5 linked regions of the Callithrix jacchus genome follow. The protein of the gene in region 1 interacts with the protein of each later gene in a pairwise test. Links are inferred from orthologs where the notes say so. Each region holds a gene or a part of one and is shown in the gene's direction. Other genes may lie near its edges. The genes, in order: USP25, SYK, RAD23B, TNKS2 and RAD23A.

Region 1 (3,519 bases):
GGTGGCGCGCACCTGTATTCCCAGCTACTTGGGAGGCTGAGGCAGGAGAATTGCTTGAACCCAGGAGGCGGAGGTTGCGGTGAGCCGAGATCACGCCATTGCACTCCAGCCGGGGCAACAAGAGCAAAACTCCGTCTCAAAAATAAATAAATAAATAAGTAAGTAAGTAAGTAAGTAAGTAAGTAAAAGTAAGTAAACTTATTTATCATGACACCTTCAGGTGTATAATTTGGTTTGCCATGAATGTATACATTCATTTTTGAATAATTTTACATTTAACGTTTGGGGTGTGAAATGGATTCATTTTGTGTCTAAGTACATGAATTAAGTAATTATAGAGTTTAAAATTGTGTTTCTTTACAATACTTTATTTTTTAAATTTTACATTTTCCATATTACTCTTACATGTTAGAAGGATAATTCGTTTGGAGGTAAAAGTAATTCTTTATTATATATTTTTCTCTTCCATTTTTGTTTTGTTTTGTATTTTTGAGTTGGGTCTTGCTCTGCTGCCCCGGCTGGAGTGCAGTGGTGTGATCATAGCTCACTACAGCCACTAACTTCTCAGCTCAGGAAGTCCTCCCACTTCAGCCTCCCAAGTAGCTGGTACTACAGGCATGTACTGAAAGGCCCAGCTAATTTTTTTAAATGTTTTTTTAGAGACGAGGATCTCACTATATAGGCCAGGGTGGTCTTGAACTCCTAGCCTCAACTAATCCTCTCACACCACCTCCCAAAGTGTTGGAATTACAGGCATGAGCCACTATGCCTGGCCTGTTTTCTTCCCTTTTTAAAACCTAATTTGAACTTCATAATATCTAGACTTAGTATAACACATAGGCCTAACTCCATCAGCTTTTTTATGTTTGGGGGCTTTTTGTTTTTGCTTTATTCCATTAGGTTTCCCAGATTTAGAAGCAGTCTTTCATTTTTCCACTTCCTCTATCTCCTTTAGATATTCTTATTTTTTTTTTTTACCCTTTTAACCTTTTTCTCAGTTACTACACCTGTCTGCACATAGAAAAGAACCTAAGTAGTCATTGAACAAACTAAATGATGTTTGTGATCATAAAACAAGGTAACCTGAGTTTTTACTTTACCTGTGACGTTGTGTTAAACAAGTAGGTTGCTGACTTTCACATTAGCTTCAATTTGGAGTTTAAATGGAAGTCACCAGGAATATAAATACCAAGGAAGACAGAACTACCTGAATTTATCAGTTACTGCCTCTTTTCCCAGTTTTTTGCTTAATTTGTAGCTCCTATTTTATTTTGTACTTTTAAGATACAACTGTCTCCTGGTTTTAGATGTTGCTGTTGCTAAAAAGGTGCTCTCAGGCATATATTGCATCAGATGATATTTTTTATTATAATGTAGGTACTCAAAACTGAAGCTTATACTTAAAATGTTTTATAATTGTAGCTGACTTTGTTTCTACAAAGGTGAAATACTAATGCCATATGTTTCTTTTTAATTTTTAAGTTATATAGATTCCTTGCTGTTCCTCATCTGTGCTTATCAGAATAACAAAGAACTCTTGTCTAAAGGCTTATACAGAGGACATGATGAAGAATTGATATCACATTATAGGAGAGAATGTTTACTAGTAAGTTGAATGCATATAGTATGATCTTATCATTTTGTTTTACATTGGGCAAATTTTCCAGACTCATATATAAGTGACTGACTCCATAAATTCTGATGGGATAAGAATATGGTGATGTCTATAAACTGGTTCTTTTCCCTTCAGATGGCAAAGTACCCTCAGTACTTAACTTTTTTCTCTTCATAAATCCCAAGTCCTGTAGGTGATAAATGAGAAATGTTCTTAAAATAGCATCAGATTGTTTACATTCATATATTTACATTTCTTCATCCCACTACCACTGCATTTTTTGGTGGGAGAGTAATGGATGCATATATCAGCCTTAAAAAAAGCTTTATGTAAGTCTATAAGAATATGCATGGAATGTATGAGAGTAATTTCTATTTAACTTAAAAATTGAATTTTGAGGCATAAGAATAGTATAGCTGATTTTAAACATAAATACAACAAACACTTGATGGTTCCTTTGAAACATTCAAAAAATGGTATAAAATTTCTCATCATTTTTTGTTAATAACCCAGCCACACTTGGTTATTTTTCATCGGAATTTAAATGAAACCTCATAAAGATTACTTTAATGTTCCTTTCAGGTTTTTTCATATTACATATTTATAGAGTGTCAGATTCTGAGGGATACAAACATGAGTCAGATGCACTTCCTGTCCTCAGAAAACTCAGTCTGGTAGGAAACATACAGAAATGATCGTCGTGTCTGGAATAATTGCCATTATAAGAAATATGCAAAATGATATGCCTGAAATATTTGTGAAGAACCTTAAGAGAGAAGATAAACCCTGATCTGGATCTTGATGGATAAATAGGAGTTTTATTAATGATAGAGTACGTAACAGAAAATCGAGATAAATTCATTGTGGCTAGCCAGGTTATGAGGAAGTGGGGTTAGGTGGAAGTAATGAAACTGGCAATACTTGTTGATGTCAGACGATAAAGAAACTTACAGGACATTCAAATGAATTTGCACCAGTATAAGTTTGGCATGATGAGGTTTTCAGAAAAGAATTCTGATAAAAATAATAGCATACTAGAGGCTGGATAAGAAAGAAGTAGATTGATGTCAGTAACCTTAGAGGGAAAAGTCAAGTGATGGAGGGTGAGGGCCTCAACTCAGGTAGTACAGTGGGTATGATGGTGGAGGAAATGAAATGAGGGCATGTCATAGCTGTTGGGTGAGTGGGAAGAAGGAAATGGAAGAATCAAAGCTGCCAAACTTTCTAGTTTTTCATTTAGTATTGGGTAATCTAATAGGAACAAGGCTGGCTTTGAACATGTTATATTTAAGATATTTCTAGAACAGTCTTTGATTCAGTGAATTTAACATTAAACTTATTAAATTTTATGTATCTTTTAATGCATACTTCCAAAAATTATAGTAGATACTTGAAGACTTAGCTCATTTTATTCTCTTAAACCCTATGGATGGAATATAAAATAATACCCTACTCTTAATGTAAAGAAAGTGAAAACAAGAGATTTAGCTATTTTATTCAAGATTGGTGTACTAGTCCGTTCTCATACTGCTCTAAAGATACTACACAAGATGGGGTGGTTTATAAAGGAAAGAGGTTTAATTGACTCACAGTTCCACATGGCTGGGGTGGCGTCAGCACCCATGGAGGAAGATGAAGGGGAAGCAAGGACCTTCTTCCCATGGCAGCAGGAGAGAGAAGTGCAAGCAGGGGAAATGCCAGATGCTTATAATACTGTGAGATCTTGTGAGCCTCACTCCCTGTCACAAGAACAGCATGGGGGAAACTGCCCCCGTGACCTCATTACCTCCCACCAGGTTTCTTCCTCAATACCTGGGGATTACAATTCAAGATAAGATTTGGGTGGGGACAGAAAGCCTAACCATATCAATTCGGTAATTGATTCATGGCCAAGGTGGACTTTA
Region 2 (3,519 bases), on another chromosome or scaffold:
GGCAATTCTCCTGCCTCAGCCTCCTGAGTAGCTGGGATTACAGGCACACGCCACCATGCCCAGCTAATTTTTTGTATTTTTTTAGTAGAGACGGGGTTTCATCATGTTGACCAGGATGGTCTCGATCTCTTGACCTCGTGATCCACCCACCTCAGCCTGTGTTTTTATTTTTTTGAGACAGAGTCTGACTCTGCTGCCCAGGCTGGAGTTCAGTGGCATGATCTCAGCTCACAGCAACCTCCACTTCCTGGAAGGTTCAAGTAATTCTCCTTCCTCAGCCTCCTGAGTAGATGGAATTACAGGCATGTGCCACTGCACCTGGCTAATTTTTGTATTTTTAGTAGAGACAGGGTTTCACCATGCTGGCCAGGCTGGTCTCAAACTCCTGACCTCAAGTGATCCACCCTCCTTGGTCTCCCGAAGTGCTGGATTGCAAGCACAAGCCACTGTGCCCAGCCATATTCTTTTTATTTATACACTTGAAAGTACTTAAGTAATGTGTAAAGGTCTTTCTGGTTTTATTTATTGAATGAATGAGTGAATAAGGTTTGATCTCGTTTTACCATGCTAGGACTTGAGATAAGTTGGAAATGCCTTCTGCGTCATTTTCATTTTTCCTCAGTATGGTTTACTCTGCTCTGCTCTCCACACTGCAGGGTCAGGCTCTGGAGCAGGCCATCATCAGTCAGAAACCTCAGCTGGAGAAGCTGATCGCCACCACAGCCCATGAAAAAATGCCTTGGTTCCATGGAAGAATCACTCGGGAAGAATCTGAGCAAATTGTCTTGATAGGATCAAAGACAAACGGGAAGTTCCTGTGAGTATTCTGCCTTCCCCTCACCTCCTGCCACCAGACCTATGTGGACAATTGAGAATAGTTCACCTTCCCCATGACTGGCCTCACATGACCCTGGGAAGGGGCCATATATTGTCATTGTCAGGGCTCGACCTCACAGGAAGGCCTTGAGTTGGCCATAAGCAGTGAAGTAGATGGCAGTAGCTGGCACAGTTATCACCAGGGTAGCAGGGAGGCCACTCCAGAGGGTCCGGGTGCCTTCATGCTTCACAATCTCACCAAGGCGGGCCCATACCGGCTCTGCCACATGTGCGGGTCCACGCGCTAGCCCGAGGCCATTGCGGAAAGCAGCGGCGTGGACCCCGCCCCCCGCCCCCACACTGCGCAGCGAAGTCCTTTATTGGGCCGGAAAGGCGGGGAGCTGCTCTAGGAGTGGGGTCCTAGGCTGGTGGCAGCCCTGTCCGTTCTGGCCGGGGCGGGCGGCCAGCTGGCTCGCTACTTGGTGCGTGCCTTCACGTACTCCCAGCCCTCCTTGGAGTACTCGCAGGCCTTAGAGGGGGCCATCTCTTTTTTTTTTTTTTTTTTTTTTTTTAGAAATATGCTTTTATTATCTGCACAGAGATATCACTGCCCCCCTCTAAAGCATCACTATTTGGGGGAAGGAGTCTTGGGGGGGCGATGGGAGGTCCTGAGTCCTGGCTTCCACATACCATATGGGCAGGAAGGCATAGGGTGCATCTCGGTGTACAGACACGGTGACTGTCTGCAGTTTTGCCCAGCGCCCCCTCCTTAGTTGTTCTCTTGACCTAGGTTCTTATTCCACCTTACATTGCAGTTGCCCAGTTATCACCCTATATTTGCCAACCTCCCAAATAATAACTTCCATGGCTTTCTCCCTTGCATTGTCCACAGCTCACTCCCACACCTTCCCGTATTCCCTCCACACCTGCGGGGCTCACCCATGGACTGACAGTGCATAGCACCCCATGCCCAGACCTGGCATCAGGTAGGGCATTAGTGAGAGGAAAGAGCAGAGCTAAGCCTGGGCAGCAAGAGCCAGCTTCAGAATGCATGTTCCTGTGACATTTGTAGAACCTTAGGCTATGGGGAAACGTTCCCCAGGCCCTGCTCCTCTGGGTCTGTGACTGTCTTGAGGAGTCAATGAAAACACACACCATGTGCACAGCACAGCATATGTGGTCATCACGGGTGTAGCTTTCCTTCTTTCTTCCATGCTCTTTTGCCATCATGAGCACCGGCAAAGTCTCCTTGTCAGGGTATCTTATGGTGTTTTTAACAGAGAAAATGTGGGGAAACACCCTGGAAATTTCACCTCTTGGCAAACTTTCATCTCCTACAGAATCTGGCTGGGGTTCTTAGCTGTTGCTGGGTGTGTAAACCTTCCTCTTTGAAGGGTAGTGGGCGTGTTATACTATGAGTGTTTGAATATGGTCATGTGTGCTTGTGTACAGTATGGGTAGTTTGCCACTGTACTGAATACAATGCAGATCTTCCCTGCTTCCAGCACAGGGCAAGGTCTGCGTCCATGAATACAATGTCTCCCAAGGCCAGGTTGCCTAGACATTGGTCCAGATGTGTTTCTTTCATGGGAAATAGAGCTCAAAGTCTCCAGGGAACTCTTGTAAACCCTCACTAGATCCTGTGGCTCCCCTCTCGGTGTGAGTGCATCAGCTCCTGATTCACTGCGGGAGTCTGTCCTATACTCCCCTGTTGGGTAGGGCCAAAGTTGCAGGAAATCCCAGACCTGGTTTTGAATCATCCAAATCTGCCCTATTTGCAGAGAGTTTTACAAAGTGTCCCTTATTTGCAATGAATAGCCACAGCACAGGGTCTTTGGAGTCAGAACTAAATCCCGGTCACTGCTGAATATCCTCAGTGAGCCAGGTGCTGTTTTTCTTCCACTGTTCTTGGGCTCTCATTCAGATTCTCCTAAAGAATGCGCTCATGTCTACTTTCCAATCAACATGTCAGCTTATCTGTCCAGGGACCAACATTACTGGAGTCTGTACTTGCGTGAAACCCTAAGGGCCAGGCACCATTCTGGACTTCGGGAAGGGAGAATTGAGTCAGCAAACACCTGTCCTCGTGGAGTCTGCATTTCAGTGAGAGAAAAGACACTGAACAGTGAGAAAGAACTGCATTTAAGGGCATAGAGACACTGGGGTTGGGGTGCTGGGGCTTTTTAAATGCTGCCTGGGGAGGGAGGGCCTTGCTGCTAGGGAGACCATTGAGCAGAGGCCTGAAGGCAGCAAGAAACCATCCCCGCCCAGGGAATGGCACATTCACCTGCAGTGGCCTTGACTGCACTTGGATGCATACACGGCATACACTAAATGTCCAGTCATCTATGCAAACTCTTCCCATCCCTGTATCACAGCTGAACCATGACCTCTGCAAGTGAGTCATTCTTCTGCAGGTGAGAAGGCCAGGCAGGTCCCTCTTATCCTTCCCTTCTGTTCTTCAGTCTGCAGGACGTGTGTTTATTTCTACTCTGTGGCTCTGAATATACAGAGTGAGAGTCACCGTCTGATCATAAAAGGATTCACACTAGGCTTTTGCTTTTATGAAATGACAGACTTAAATAAAGAATAACTGTTTCACAGAGGGGGTTGGAAATTTATTTTTGCATTGCAAGCCATAAACTAATCAAGAGGATTTTACTAGTTTGGTGCGTAATACGGGTCAACAAAACCCCAGCAGTT
Region 3 (4,127 bases), on another chromosome or scaffold:
TGCACCTGCAGTGTGCCAGCCATGTTCATGGGTGGATAAAGTAAAATCTTTGCCTCTGTGCAGTGCAGCTTCAGTCTGGGGTTTACAGGAAAGGAAGAAAGATGAGAAACAAGAGATACATACATTACACGGTAATTAAAAGGGGATACCCGCTATGGAAGAAAACAGCACAATAACAGAGATAGGAAGTTGCGATTTTAAGGCAGCCAGCGCAGACCTCACCAAGAAGGCAACATCAATTTAAAGAGGGGAGCCGCGACCGCAAGTGCAAAGGAAGGCCCTAAGGCGGGGGCAGCCTAGACTCCACCAGTGGGGAGAGTAAGGCAACGCGGGGAAAGGTGAGGGGCTAATGCGTCCGTTCTAAGAACTCTGACTTTAACTCGGGGCTAGACGGGGAACCACTGGACAGTTCTGCCCCAAGGTGTGACCTTTGTTTTATTTTATTTTTTTTAATTACTATCATTATTTGAGACGGAGTCTCACTGTCACCCAGGTTGGAGTGCAATGGCGCGATCTCGCCTCACTTCAACCTCCGCCTCCAGGGTTCAAGCGGTTCTCCTGCCTCAGCCTCCTGAGTAGCTGGGACTACAGGCGCCCGCTAATGTTTGTATTTTTAGTAGAGACGGGGGTTTCACCACGTTGGCCAGGATGGTCTCGAACTCCCGACCTCAGGTAATCCGTCCGCGTCGGCTTCCCAAAGTGCTGGGATTACAGGCGTGAGCCACCACGCCCAGCCGACTTTCGTTCTAAATCGGCCCATCTGTTTAGGCCCAATGTCCCAAGCCTAGCGAGAGAAAACAAAATTTGAACACGGGCAGTCCGGCTCAGGAGCCTGTGGTGGCGGGATTAAAGAATGAGTCTACATCCCAGGGCTGAGTCCCGCAGCGAGCCCCCGGCGGGTGCTGGCCCCTAGCTGTGGTTACCGCCATCCTTTCACTTAAACTCCGCCCCATTACTCCCCGACTCCAGGGCTCCGCATCCACTCGGCCGATTCTCCACGTAGCGCTTCCCGGGCTACAGATTGCGTAACTTCGGCAGCCGGGCGGAGTCTGGAAAGAGGCGGAGGGGCGGCGGACTGAGAGAATGCTCCTGTAATAGCTGCGAAGAGGAAGCCCAGAGAGCCCCGGCCGCCGACTGAACGCCGCTCCTGCGCAATCCGGGTCCAGGCCGCCGACATTCCAGAGCCGCCTTCCGCCCCGCCCCCAATTCCGGGGTGGAGTCCTCTGCCGCGCCTGCGCAAAGCGTCGCCGCAACCCCCCTCACGCCTGCGCGCTTCGCCCGCCCGGCCCCATCCCCCCCAGGGTTTTTCGGGTGGGGGAGGGGGACGTCTCGGCGAGTCACGATGATGGCGGCCACCATCCTGTGGTGAGCTAGCGGATTCCTTGCTTGCCTCGCAGAGCCCCTCGCGCCTCCTGCAGACTCAGTGGCTGGCGCCCGGCGCGTGAGGAGGCACGGCGGCCCGAGCTCGCGGGGAAGGCCGCAGTCGCGGAAGCAGCGGCGCGGGCCGCAGCACGGGCTGGGGGAGAGGCCGCTCCGCTGGGCGAATGTGACAAGCCCCCACCCCCACCGTCTTCCTCCCCAGAGCGCGAGGAGCGCGGGCGACCCCGGGGCCCCGCCAGGCCACAGACCCCGCCCAGCGGTCAGCACCCGGCGCAGGCCCGGCAGCAGAGCTGCGCGGCGGCACCATGCAGGTCACCCTGAAGACCCTCCAGCAGCAGACCTTCAAGATAGACATCGACCCCGAGGAGACGGTATGCACGCGGACCGGGGGCGGGGGCAGCCGCGTGCGGGCCGGGGGGAGCGACAGGATCCGGGAGTGGAGCCGGGCGGCGCGCTTCAGCGGGGGAAGCCCCGGAGGGTGCGGTGAGGGCCCTGCGTCTCGGTCTCGGCCCGTGCCCTGCCGGCGTGCGGCAGAGCCGACCCTCCTGGCTTGGCCGGGGGCTTTGTGGCAGAATAGGGAAGTAGTGACCGGACGCCGAAGGCCTGGTTGGGCAGATGGCGTGGAGCGCACGCCCGCGGGCCCGGGCCTAGGAGCTTGTGCTAGCAGGGCCGGAGGGGGATGGGGAGGTCCAGGCAGCTTCGGCCGTGGTGCCTGGCTTTCTGGTGTGGGTGCACAGGTGGGGGAGGAAGACGTAGGCGTCGCCACTACTTGTGTGTGGACCTGGTTAGGCGCTTAGATCCCAGAGTTGGTAACCCGAGAAGATGAGCTTTAAGGAAAAAAAAAAAAAAAAGCATCAGGTTTCGTCTATCACCGAGTGAGAGGTGTGCGGTGGTGAAAATGAATTTGTCCCTTTACCTCCAGAATTGTTAACCCTTTTATTTGTAAGTGAATTGTTCTGCTGCCTTCCTCCCGCCACCCAACCCACACCCCGTGTAGATTGCACTTTGAGGCTTCTTTGGTGGTGAAGGTTTTAGCAGTAGAGGCCTTCAAATCCATTCCAAGCTCAAACTGAACTTCAGATGTAACGGGTTCTCTGCTTTATCTTGGAATTGTTAGGAGTTGTAACCCTTCACCCACACTCCCCAGGCCCCCAAACAGTAGATGTTCAAGGGGGAAAAAAGAAAAAAAAAAAAACAACTTTGAATCCCTCCTGCAGTTAGTCTTAAACATTTCGGAAGTCCACGTTATACATTTTTCTGTGTTTGTGACTGCATAAAGAGACACTGTTGAGGTCGACACAGCTTTGTGCCAAGAATCTAATAATGCCGTGAGTGTAAATTTACTGCTTATGTTCTGGAATACACCGCTAAGATTGTCATAAGACTAAGTGTAAACCAGCAGTTTCCTGCCCAACTCTATTTTTTAAAGTAGTTTTTTCTATTTTGGGTGGAGATCAGGGGCTTTGGTGTTAATTAAGTAGAACCTGAGTTCCATTTGTGGTTTTGTAACTTACTTGCCATGACCTTGGGCAAATTACGCTTAGTTTCATCCTCTGTACCGTAGGGATAATAGCTGCCTTGCGGAGATGTGAGGATTAAATGGTACATATTTACTTGATGGTCAGTAAATGGAATTGATTAAACAGTGGATTCTTTTGAATGGAGGACACAACAGCGTTACGTTGTACTTATTTAATCTTAAGTTTTGCACATCTTTAATTGTTTAAGAAACAAGGAGAGTTCCCCCAACTTTTTTGCGATTTTTGTACAAAATTATTCGATTTCAAAATATTTATATGTAGATGTATGCTGTGTGATTAACTTCTTAAAGGTACAGGACATATCAGTTACACATGAAAAGCTTTTCTGTGTCCTCAGAAGTAATTGACAACACCCTGTGGACTGACAGTACTAACAGAATCAAATTCCTCTTGAATATTTCTTTACTGCTTAATATGCGTTAATAAGTTGAAGGGTGAAAGTTACAATGGGGTTTGTTTGATGATTTCAGGCAAACTACGTAAAATGCCTATTTGCTTTTGGTTCTTTGTGGTAACAAATGATGGTGCCCCAATAACTTAATCAGCTTATAATACTCAGTTTAATTTCAGAATTATTCAAACCTAAAGAAATATTGTGGCTTTTTGGTAAATATTTGTGGGTGTATTGAAGTTATGCAGTGACTCTTTTAACAGCTCCACTAAAGTATTTATGTTCTTTAAGATTTGTTTAGCGTTTTTTAGGCACTTTTCACATACAGTGTTAACTGAGAGCCAATGCAGTATCTGAATTTGTACAGATTCTTATATTTATTTATTTTTCCATTCCCCACCCAACTTGTACAAATTCTTAACTATTTTTGCTATTTTCCAGTTTATTTCCAAGGAAAAGCAGTATGTTATACTTTTAGAAATAATATTTTTGAAAAGCTCATTTGTAGGGAGTGGCTTCTACAGCTTTTGCTATTTATATAAATATACTTTTGTTGCTATTAGTATAAAAAAACTAATATTGTTAGTCTGAGGCAAGAAATTAAAGCATTTCCTCTGATATATGGAATGTTTGCATTTAATGACTTGTCAGTTTTTATTTTAATGACTTTAGGAAATTTTTTCAAGACAACTGTTTCAATTCTATGTAGTGGGTTTTAATTAATATTTGTTTTTGATACGACACCCCAGACTTGCAGTAAGAAAAGAAATAGTGAAAATTTTATTTAATGGGGCAACACTAAGTGTCCTATTTCT
Region 4 (3,519 bases), on another chromosome or scaffold:
TTGGAAGATAGAACCACCAACTAGTCTACCAAAATCTCCTGTTATCTTCTAAAAAGAAACAGTGACGCAATACCAAAAGGTTGTTTGAAACTAAGAAAGGCCAATCACATGCCTGAGAGAAGTGGGAGGGTAATCTACTGAAATTGGTCGGAAGGAGAGACCTATCTAAGGAAGTAACATTTCAGCTGAAGTCTGAGAATTGAGTGGGTGTCAGCGAGTGGAAGAGTGGTAAAATAGATACCATTCCAATGGTGGTGAAAATTATATGGATGGGGACCATTAGTAAAGGAAGTTTGGCCTTTGTGAAGAAAAGAAAAAAACTAATGTGCATGGGGCATAATGAACATAAAATGAGATCAGAGAAACTGGAGCCACTGTGCAGAATTTGGATTTTCTCTGAAGTACAGTGAGCAGCCTCTAAAAGGTTTTAAGCAGAAAAGTGACTTGATCTAATTTTTATTTATTTTAATTACATGAATGGGAAAGATATGGACAGGAATTGGAGTAGAAACAGAAGACTGTTTTAGAAGCCATTGTATGATAGTCCAGGGAAAAATTTCAGTGATTAGACATAATGGTGACAGTAGAATTAAGAAAAGTAAATGGATTTCAAATATATTTTGAAGGTAAAATCAACTTAATTAGATATGTGTCCAACTTTGCAAGCCACTTGATGGAAGGTCCTTAAGCCCTCTTCCCACTTGCCCAGTGACTCGTGTGTTTGCTAAGATATAAACAAGGTGGTAGAGTCTGCATCTCTATAGGGTTATTACAATTTTTAAGGTAGTTAAAATAAGGACTAAGGTGACAAATTATTTCATTAATAAGAGTAGTAGAAGAAATTCTTAAAAAGTTCTTTTAGGGGTGAAATGATAAAAACAATCATAAATATTTATGTATAAATAAATTTGTAAAACTTATGCCATGCCCACAGATTGTCATATTTATGTGTCAAATTTGCCTTCAGGGTGATCTTTTCCTTTTCATGTTATAGGCAGCTGCTCTTTTGCCGGGTAACCTTGGGAAAGTCTTTCCTGCAGTTCAGTGCAATGAAAATGGCACATTCTCCTCCAGGTCATCACTCAGTCACTGGTAGACCCAGTGTAAATGGCCTAGCATTAGCTGAATATGTTATTTACAGAGGAGAACAGGTAATACAGTTTTATTTGTTTATCTTCAAAAATGCTGGAGAGGCATACTTTAACTTTTTACTAATCCCTTGAATTGACAAGACATATTATTGCCTTAAGAACTGGATTTTTTTTTAATTTTATTTGGAAATAATTTCAGACTTGAAAAGTTACAAAAATAGTAAAGAGAATCCCCTAATAACCTTTACCTAGATTTCCTAAATGTTAATATTTTATCATTCTCTTTTTTTCTCCTTTATCATTCTTCCTTCCCTGTTTATGTATACATATTTTTTTGTGAACTGTTTGAGAGTAATTTGCAGGGCATGCCCCTTTACCATTAACTGCTTCCATGTAAATTTCCTAAAAACAAGAATATTCCCTTATATTTATCAAAATCAGGAAAATGCCATCGAGGTAATTATATCTGACCTACAGACTTTATTCAAATTTTGTCAATTGTACCGGATTATTTTAGCTCTTATAAATGATTGAAATCTTGTATTTAACAGTTAGCCTGTCTGTAGCAAAGAAGTATATAATTGTGTCTTGCTGTCAGTGGCATAGATCCAGCCAAAAGTAGATCTAGAGCAGTGTTCTGAATTGCGGGTAGGTATTGGAATCACCTCAGTTACTAAAATCAGACATGAACTTAGTATTCATCCTAGACTCACTGATTGAAAATCGAAAGGATTGTAGTCAGGATAAAGATGTTTTGAGAAAATGTCCCTAGATGATTCTGATCTACAACACTAATTTAGAGCCTCCTCCCTAACGTTAGGAATACTTACAGGAAGTCTATTTGTCTTTCAAGAAAATTTGTGTACCGTTATTTGAATTTCTTTCTCTTCCAGGCTTATCCTGAGTATTTAATTACTTACCAGATTATGAGACCTGAAGGTATGGTTGATGGATAAATAGTTGTTTTAAGAAACTAATTCCACTGAACCTAAAATCATCAAAGCAGCAGTGGCCTCTTAAGTTTTACTCCTTTGCTGAAAAAAAAAAAATCATCTTGCCCCACAAGCCTATAGCAAAAGGATAAAAATGTGAAAGAAGTTTAACATTCTGACTTGATAAAGCTTTAATAATGTACAGTGTTTTCTAAATATTTTCTGTTTTTCAGCACTTTAACAGATGCCATTCCAGGTTAAACTGGGTTTGTCTGTACTAAATTATAAACAGAGTTAACTTGAACCTTTTATACATTATTCATTGATTCTAACAGAAACTGTAATGCCCTCAACAGCTCGTTTTACTAATACAGTACTGTGTTCTTTAAAACACAGCATTTACACTGAATGCAATTTCATTTGTAAAACTGTAAATAAGAGCTTTTGTACTAGCCCAATATTTATTTACATTGCTTTGTAATATAAATCTGTTTTAGAACTGCAGCGGTTTACAAAGTTTTTTCATATGTATTGTTCATCTGTACTTCATCTTGCATCATCATGATTGAGTGATCTTTACATTTGATTCCAGACGACGCTATGTTGAGTTGTTAGTTGGGAAAGATTGATTTATCAGATTTAATTTGCTGATGGGAGCTTTTATCTGTCATTAGAAATCTTTCTCATAGAACTTATGAATATGCTGAAGATTTAATTTGTGATACTTTTGTATGTATAAGACACATTCCAAAGAGCTCTAACTATGATAGGTCCGATTACTAAAGAAGCTTCTCTACTGGCCTCAATTTCTGGTTTCATGTTGGAAAATTTTCTAAAGTCATTCTGTGAAAATTAGAGCAAAGTGCTCCTGTTTTTTAGAGAAACTAAATCTTGCTGTTAAATAATTACTGTGTTCTTTTCATGGAACTTAAGTAAAATGTTACATTTCAAGGTGGGGAAGGATAATCCTAAATCATTTCCCAATGTATTCTAATTACCTTAAATCTAAAGGGAAAAAAATAGCCAACAAGACTGGGTAGTTTTTTATCGTAAGTATTTTTTTTTCCATTCTTTTTTACTTGGTTTTATTGCTATGTTTATGGCCAAACTATACATCATGGGCAAACTCAACCCAGAACTATAAACTGTAGTTGTCTCAGTCCCTCCAGGCTTCCTGAATGGGCTAGTACAGTGAAACAGGTGCTACTTGCTCCTGGGTTGCCTCTCCATGATGTTACGCCCAATTGGAAATACACTCTCAGTTTGTACACCATATGCTGACTAGGCCTGTGTTCAGTTTGGCAGCTATAGAAGGAAATGCTCCCATAAAATGCCATTCCTATTTTCTAATATAAAACTCTTTTCCAGGAAGCACGCTTAAGCATCTTGTTACAGAGACGTATATGCATTACGGCTTGGTGGTCTATTTTATTTGTTGACTGTAGCTCCCTCCAAAGTCGAGGAAAGATCTTTACTCACTTAGTAAGGACATTCCC
Region 5 (2,722 bases), on another chromosome or scaffold:
AAGTCCACGGGCTTCACTGCCCTCATGGGCAGTTGGAGAGGCAAAATCTGCCCAGAAAAGCCTTTGGGTAGTGATTGCAGCCGCTAACGCTGTCCCACAGGAGGCTGGATGTGAGCGATGGGGGGGCCTCCGGAGGGCAGGGCCAACGCCTCAGCTGTGTCCTGCCAGGGCATGGAGGAGGGTGGCAACAGGAGCTCTGTGCATTAGAACTAAACAGGACCCCTGACAGGGAATTCCTGGGAGCCCCGAGCCAGAACACGGTTCTGTCCAGGAGAGCCAGGTATCCGAGCAGCCGGCCACGGAAGCAGGTGGGTGTGCACGTGCGGCATCTGCCCTCCAGGTACCTGACTCACACCACACTCCACCCCGCAGTGCTCCTGGGAGCCCAGTGCAGTGTCTGACTGCACCCCTTCCTACTACCAGCAGGAGAGAACCCCCTGGAGTTCCTGCGGGACCAGCCCCAGTTCCAGAACATGCGGCAGGTGATTCAGCAGAACCCTGCACTGCTGCCTGCTCTGCTCCAACAGCTGGGCCAGGAGAACCCTCAGCTTTTGCAGGTGTGGTCCCAGGGGCAGAGGGAACCAGGGCAGCCACCATTTCCCTTCCCTGCGGGCACCAGAGTCCATAACATACAGAAGTCGTTCTAATCCTGGAAAGCAGGACTAAGCGCATTCTTCCCCCACACCCCCATGCTTCCTGTGACCTGTCGACCCCCACGGTTTCTTAGTCTTCCGAACTGCCTTGTGAGGTGTGGGTGCTGTCAACATCACCTCCTGCAGAAGAAGACACTAGAAGCTTAGAACAGCCTGTCATTCCCAGGGCCACACAGCTGGTAGAGTGTGTGTCTGCCTGCTGCCTCAGGGTCCTGGGCTGGGGCTCTGGCTCTGGCTCCACATACAGATGGCACTACGTAAATGTCTGTAAGGTGGCATGACATCACCCAGGACAGCTGTGTCCCAGTTGGCTCTGGGACTTCTGTGCTCAGTGAGGCTCAACCTTGGCCTTTGAATGTTCACAGGAAGAGTAGGGGCGTGGGCCTCTGAGTGCAGGTTCCTCTGGGTCCTCTGTGAAGTGCCCACCTGTCTTGACCCAAGACCCTGCTGTCTGCCCCTTCTCTCATTTCTTAGCCCCTTGCCAGCTTCTCCTGCCCGGTCCTGTTCTTCATCTGCACTCAGTCCTCCCTCATAGTGTCCTGGGGCCTTCAGTCTGTATGGGGACTCCCAAATCTTTTTTTTTTTTTTAAATATATATATTTTTATAAAGATGGGGTTTCACCATGTTGGTCAGGCTGGTCTTGAACTCCTGACCTCAGGTGATCCGCCCTCCTTGGCCTCCAAAGTGCTTAGATTACAGGCGTAAGCCATCATGCCTGGCCTGAGGACCCCCAAATCTATATAACCAGCTCAAGTCTCTCTCAGTGCCATACTCCATGGTTGGCTTAATCTGTCCATCAAAGTGCTTCCCCCCACCCCCTGCCCCGAGACAGAGTCTTGCTCTGTTGCGGTGGCAGATCTTGGCCCATGGCATCCTCTGCCACCTGGATTCAAGTGATTCTCCTGCCTCAGCCTCCTGAGCAGCTGGGACTACAGGTGTGCGCTACCACACCTGGCTAATTTTTTTGTATTTTAGTAGAGATGAGGTTTCACCATGTTGGCCAGGATGGTCTTCATCTCCTGACCTCAGGATCTGCCCGCCTCAGCCTCCCAAAGTGCTGAGATTACAGGCGTGAGCCCCCGCGCCCGGCCCAGAGTGCTCTCTAGACTAGACTTCTAAGATTTTGAACAGACTTCCCCAGTTCTCCCCCATCTCTGCAAGGACCAGCCTGGGGTTGCTTCAGCCTCAGGCCGTGGGGGCCAGCTGAGGTCCCTCCCCTTGTCCTGTCTCTTCTCCCCATCCAGCCCCTCCCTGCACTCCAGCTCCCTGGCAGGCTTCTCCAGGGCCTCTGCCACTCCACAGTACCACAGTCCATTGACTGAAAAACTCTTTTCTTTTCTTTTTTTTTTTTTTTTTTTTTTGAGACGGAGTTTCACTATTGTTACCCAGGCTGGAGTGCAATGGCGCAACCTCCGCCTCCTGGGTTCAGGCAATTCTCCTGCCTCAGCCTCCTGAGTAGCTGAGACTACAGGCACGCGCCACCATGCCCAGCTAATTTTTTGTATTTTTAGTAGAGATGGTGTTTCACCATGTTGACCAGGATGGTCTCGATCTCTTGACCTCATGATCCACCCGCCTCGGCCTCCCAAAGTGCTGGGATTACCGGCTTGAGCCACTGAGCACGGCCAACACTTTCTTTAATGTGAAAATGGTCAGATGTAGACAAGAGTAGAGAGAGTTGTATCAGAGCTTCCAGATACCCAGGCTGGGCACAGTGGCGCCCACACCTGTAATCCCAGCACTTTGGGAGACCAGTGGGCAGACCAGTTGAGGTCAGGAGTTTGAGACCAGCCTGGCCAACATGGTGAAATCCTGTCTCTACTAAAAAAGTAGCTGAGCATGGTGGCAGGCCACTGTAGTCCCAGCTGTTTCGAAGGTTGAGGCATGAGAATTGCTTGAACCCAGGAGACAGAAATTGCAGTGAACCGAGATTGCCCCACTGCACCCCAGCCTGGGTGACAGAGTGAGACTCTGTCTTAAAAAGAATAGAAACGAAAACAAACAAATGAACTTCCACATACCCAAATCCAACACGCAGATGAGTTCACAGTTTTTGGTTCGGGGGAGT

What was found.
Region 2: the proteins of USP25 (region 1) and SYK interact in binary tests that used the Homo sapiens proteins (3 or more experiments, as listed by UniProt). The link is inferred for Callithrix jacchus from reciprocal best matches to the Homo sapiens genes USP25 and SYK.
Region 3: the proteins of USP25 (region 1) and RAD23B interact in binary tests that used the Homo sapiens proteins (3 or more experiments, as listed by UniProt). The link is inferred for Callithrix jacchus from reciprocal best matches to the Homo sapiens genes USP25 and RAD23B.
Region 4: the proteins of USP25 (region 1) and TNKS2 interact in a two-hybrid assay, tested with the Homo sapiens proteins (2 studies listed by BioGRID and IntAct). The link is inferred for Callithrix jacchus from reciprocal best matches to the Homo sapiens genes USP25 and TNKS2.
Region 5: the proteins of USP25 (region 1) and RAD23A interact in binary tests that used the Homo sapiens proteins (3 or more experiments, as listed by UniProt). The link is inferred for Callithrix jacchus from reciprocal best matches to the Homo sapiens genes USP25 and RAD23A.

What each region holds. Positions count from the first base shown.
Region 1 is NC_133522.1:22,892,136-22,895,654, forward strand, and holds part of USP25 (ubiquitin carboxyl-terminal hydrolase 25), read left to right. Parts: intron 1-1,482; coding exon 1,483-1,606; intron 1,607-3,519. UniProt on the Homo sapiens protein: Deubiquitinating enzyme that hydrolyzes ubiquitin moieties conjugated to substrates and thus, functions in various biological processes including inflammation and immune response.
Region 2 is NC_133502.1:74,857,098-74,860,616, reverse strand, and holds part of SYK (tyrosine-protein kinase SYK), read left to right. Parts: intron 1-656; coding exon 657-817; intron 818-3,519. UniProt on the Homo sapiens protein: Non-receptor tyrosine kinase which mediates signal transduction downstream of a variety of transmembrane receptors including classical immunoreceptors like the B-cell receptor (BCR).
Region 3 is NC_133502.1:155,652,840-155,656,966, forward strand, and holds the start of RAD23B (UV excision repair protein RAD23 homolog B), read left to right. Parts: upstream 1-1,317; 5' UTR 1,318-1,365; intron 1,366-1,416; exon of another isoform or gene 1,417-1,582; 5' UTR 1,583-1,685; coding exon 1,686-1,751; intron 1,752-4,127. UniProt on the Homo sapiens protein: Multiubiquitin chain receptor involved in modulation of proteasomal degradation. Binds to polyubiquitin chains.
Region 4 is NC_133513.1:84,637,640-84,641,158, forward strand, and holds part of TNKS2 (poly [ADP-ribose] polymerase tankyrase-2), read left to right. Parts: intron 1-994; coding exon 995-1,151; intron 1,152-1,984; coding exon 1,985-2,047; 3' UTR 2,048-3,519. UniProt on the Homo sapiens protein: Poly-ADP-ribosyltransferase involved in various processes such as Wnt signaling pathway, telomere length and vesicle trafficking.
Region 5 is NC_133523.1:11,771,577-11,774,298, forward strand, and holds part of RAD23A (UV excision repair protein RAD23 homolog A), read left to right. Parts: intron 1-229; coding exon 230-308; intron 309-423; coding exon 424-557; intron 558-2,722. UniProt on the Homo sapiens protein: Multiubiquitin chain receptor involved in modulation of proteasomal degradation. Binds to 'Lys-48'-linked polyubiquitin chains in a length-dependent manner and with a lower affinity to 'Lys-63'-linked polyubiquitin chains.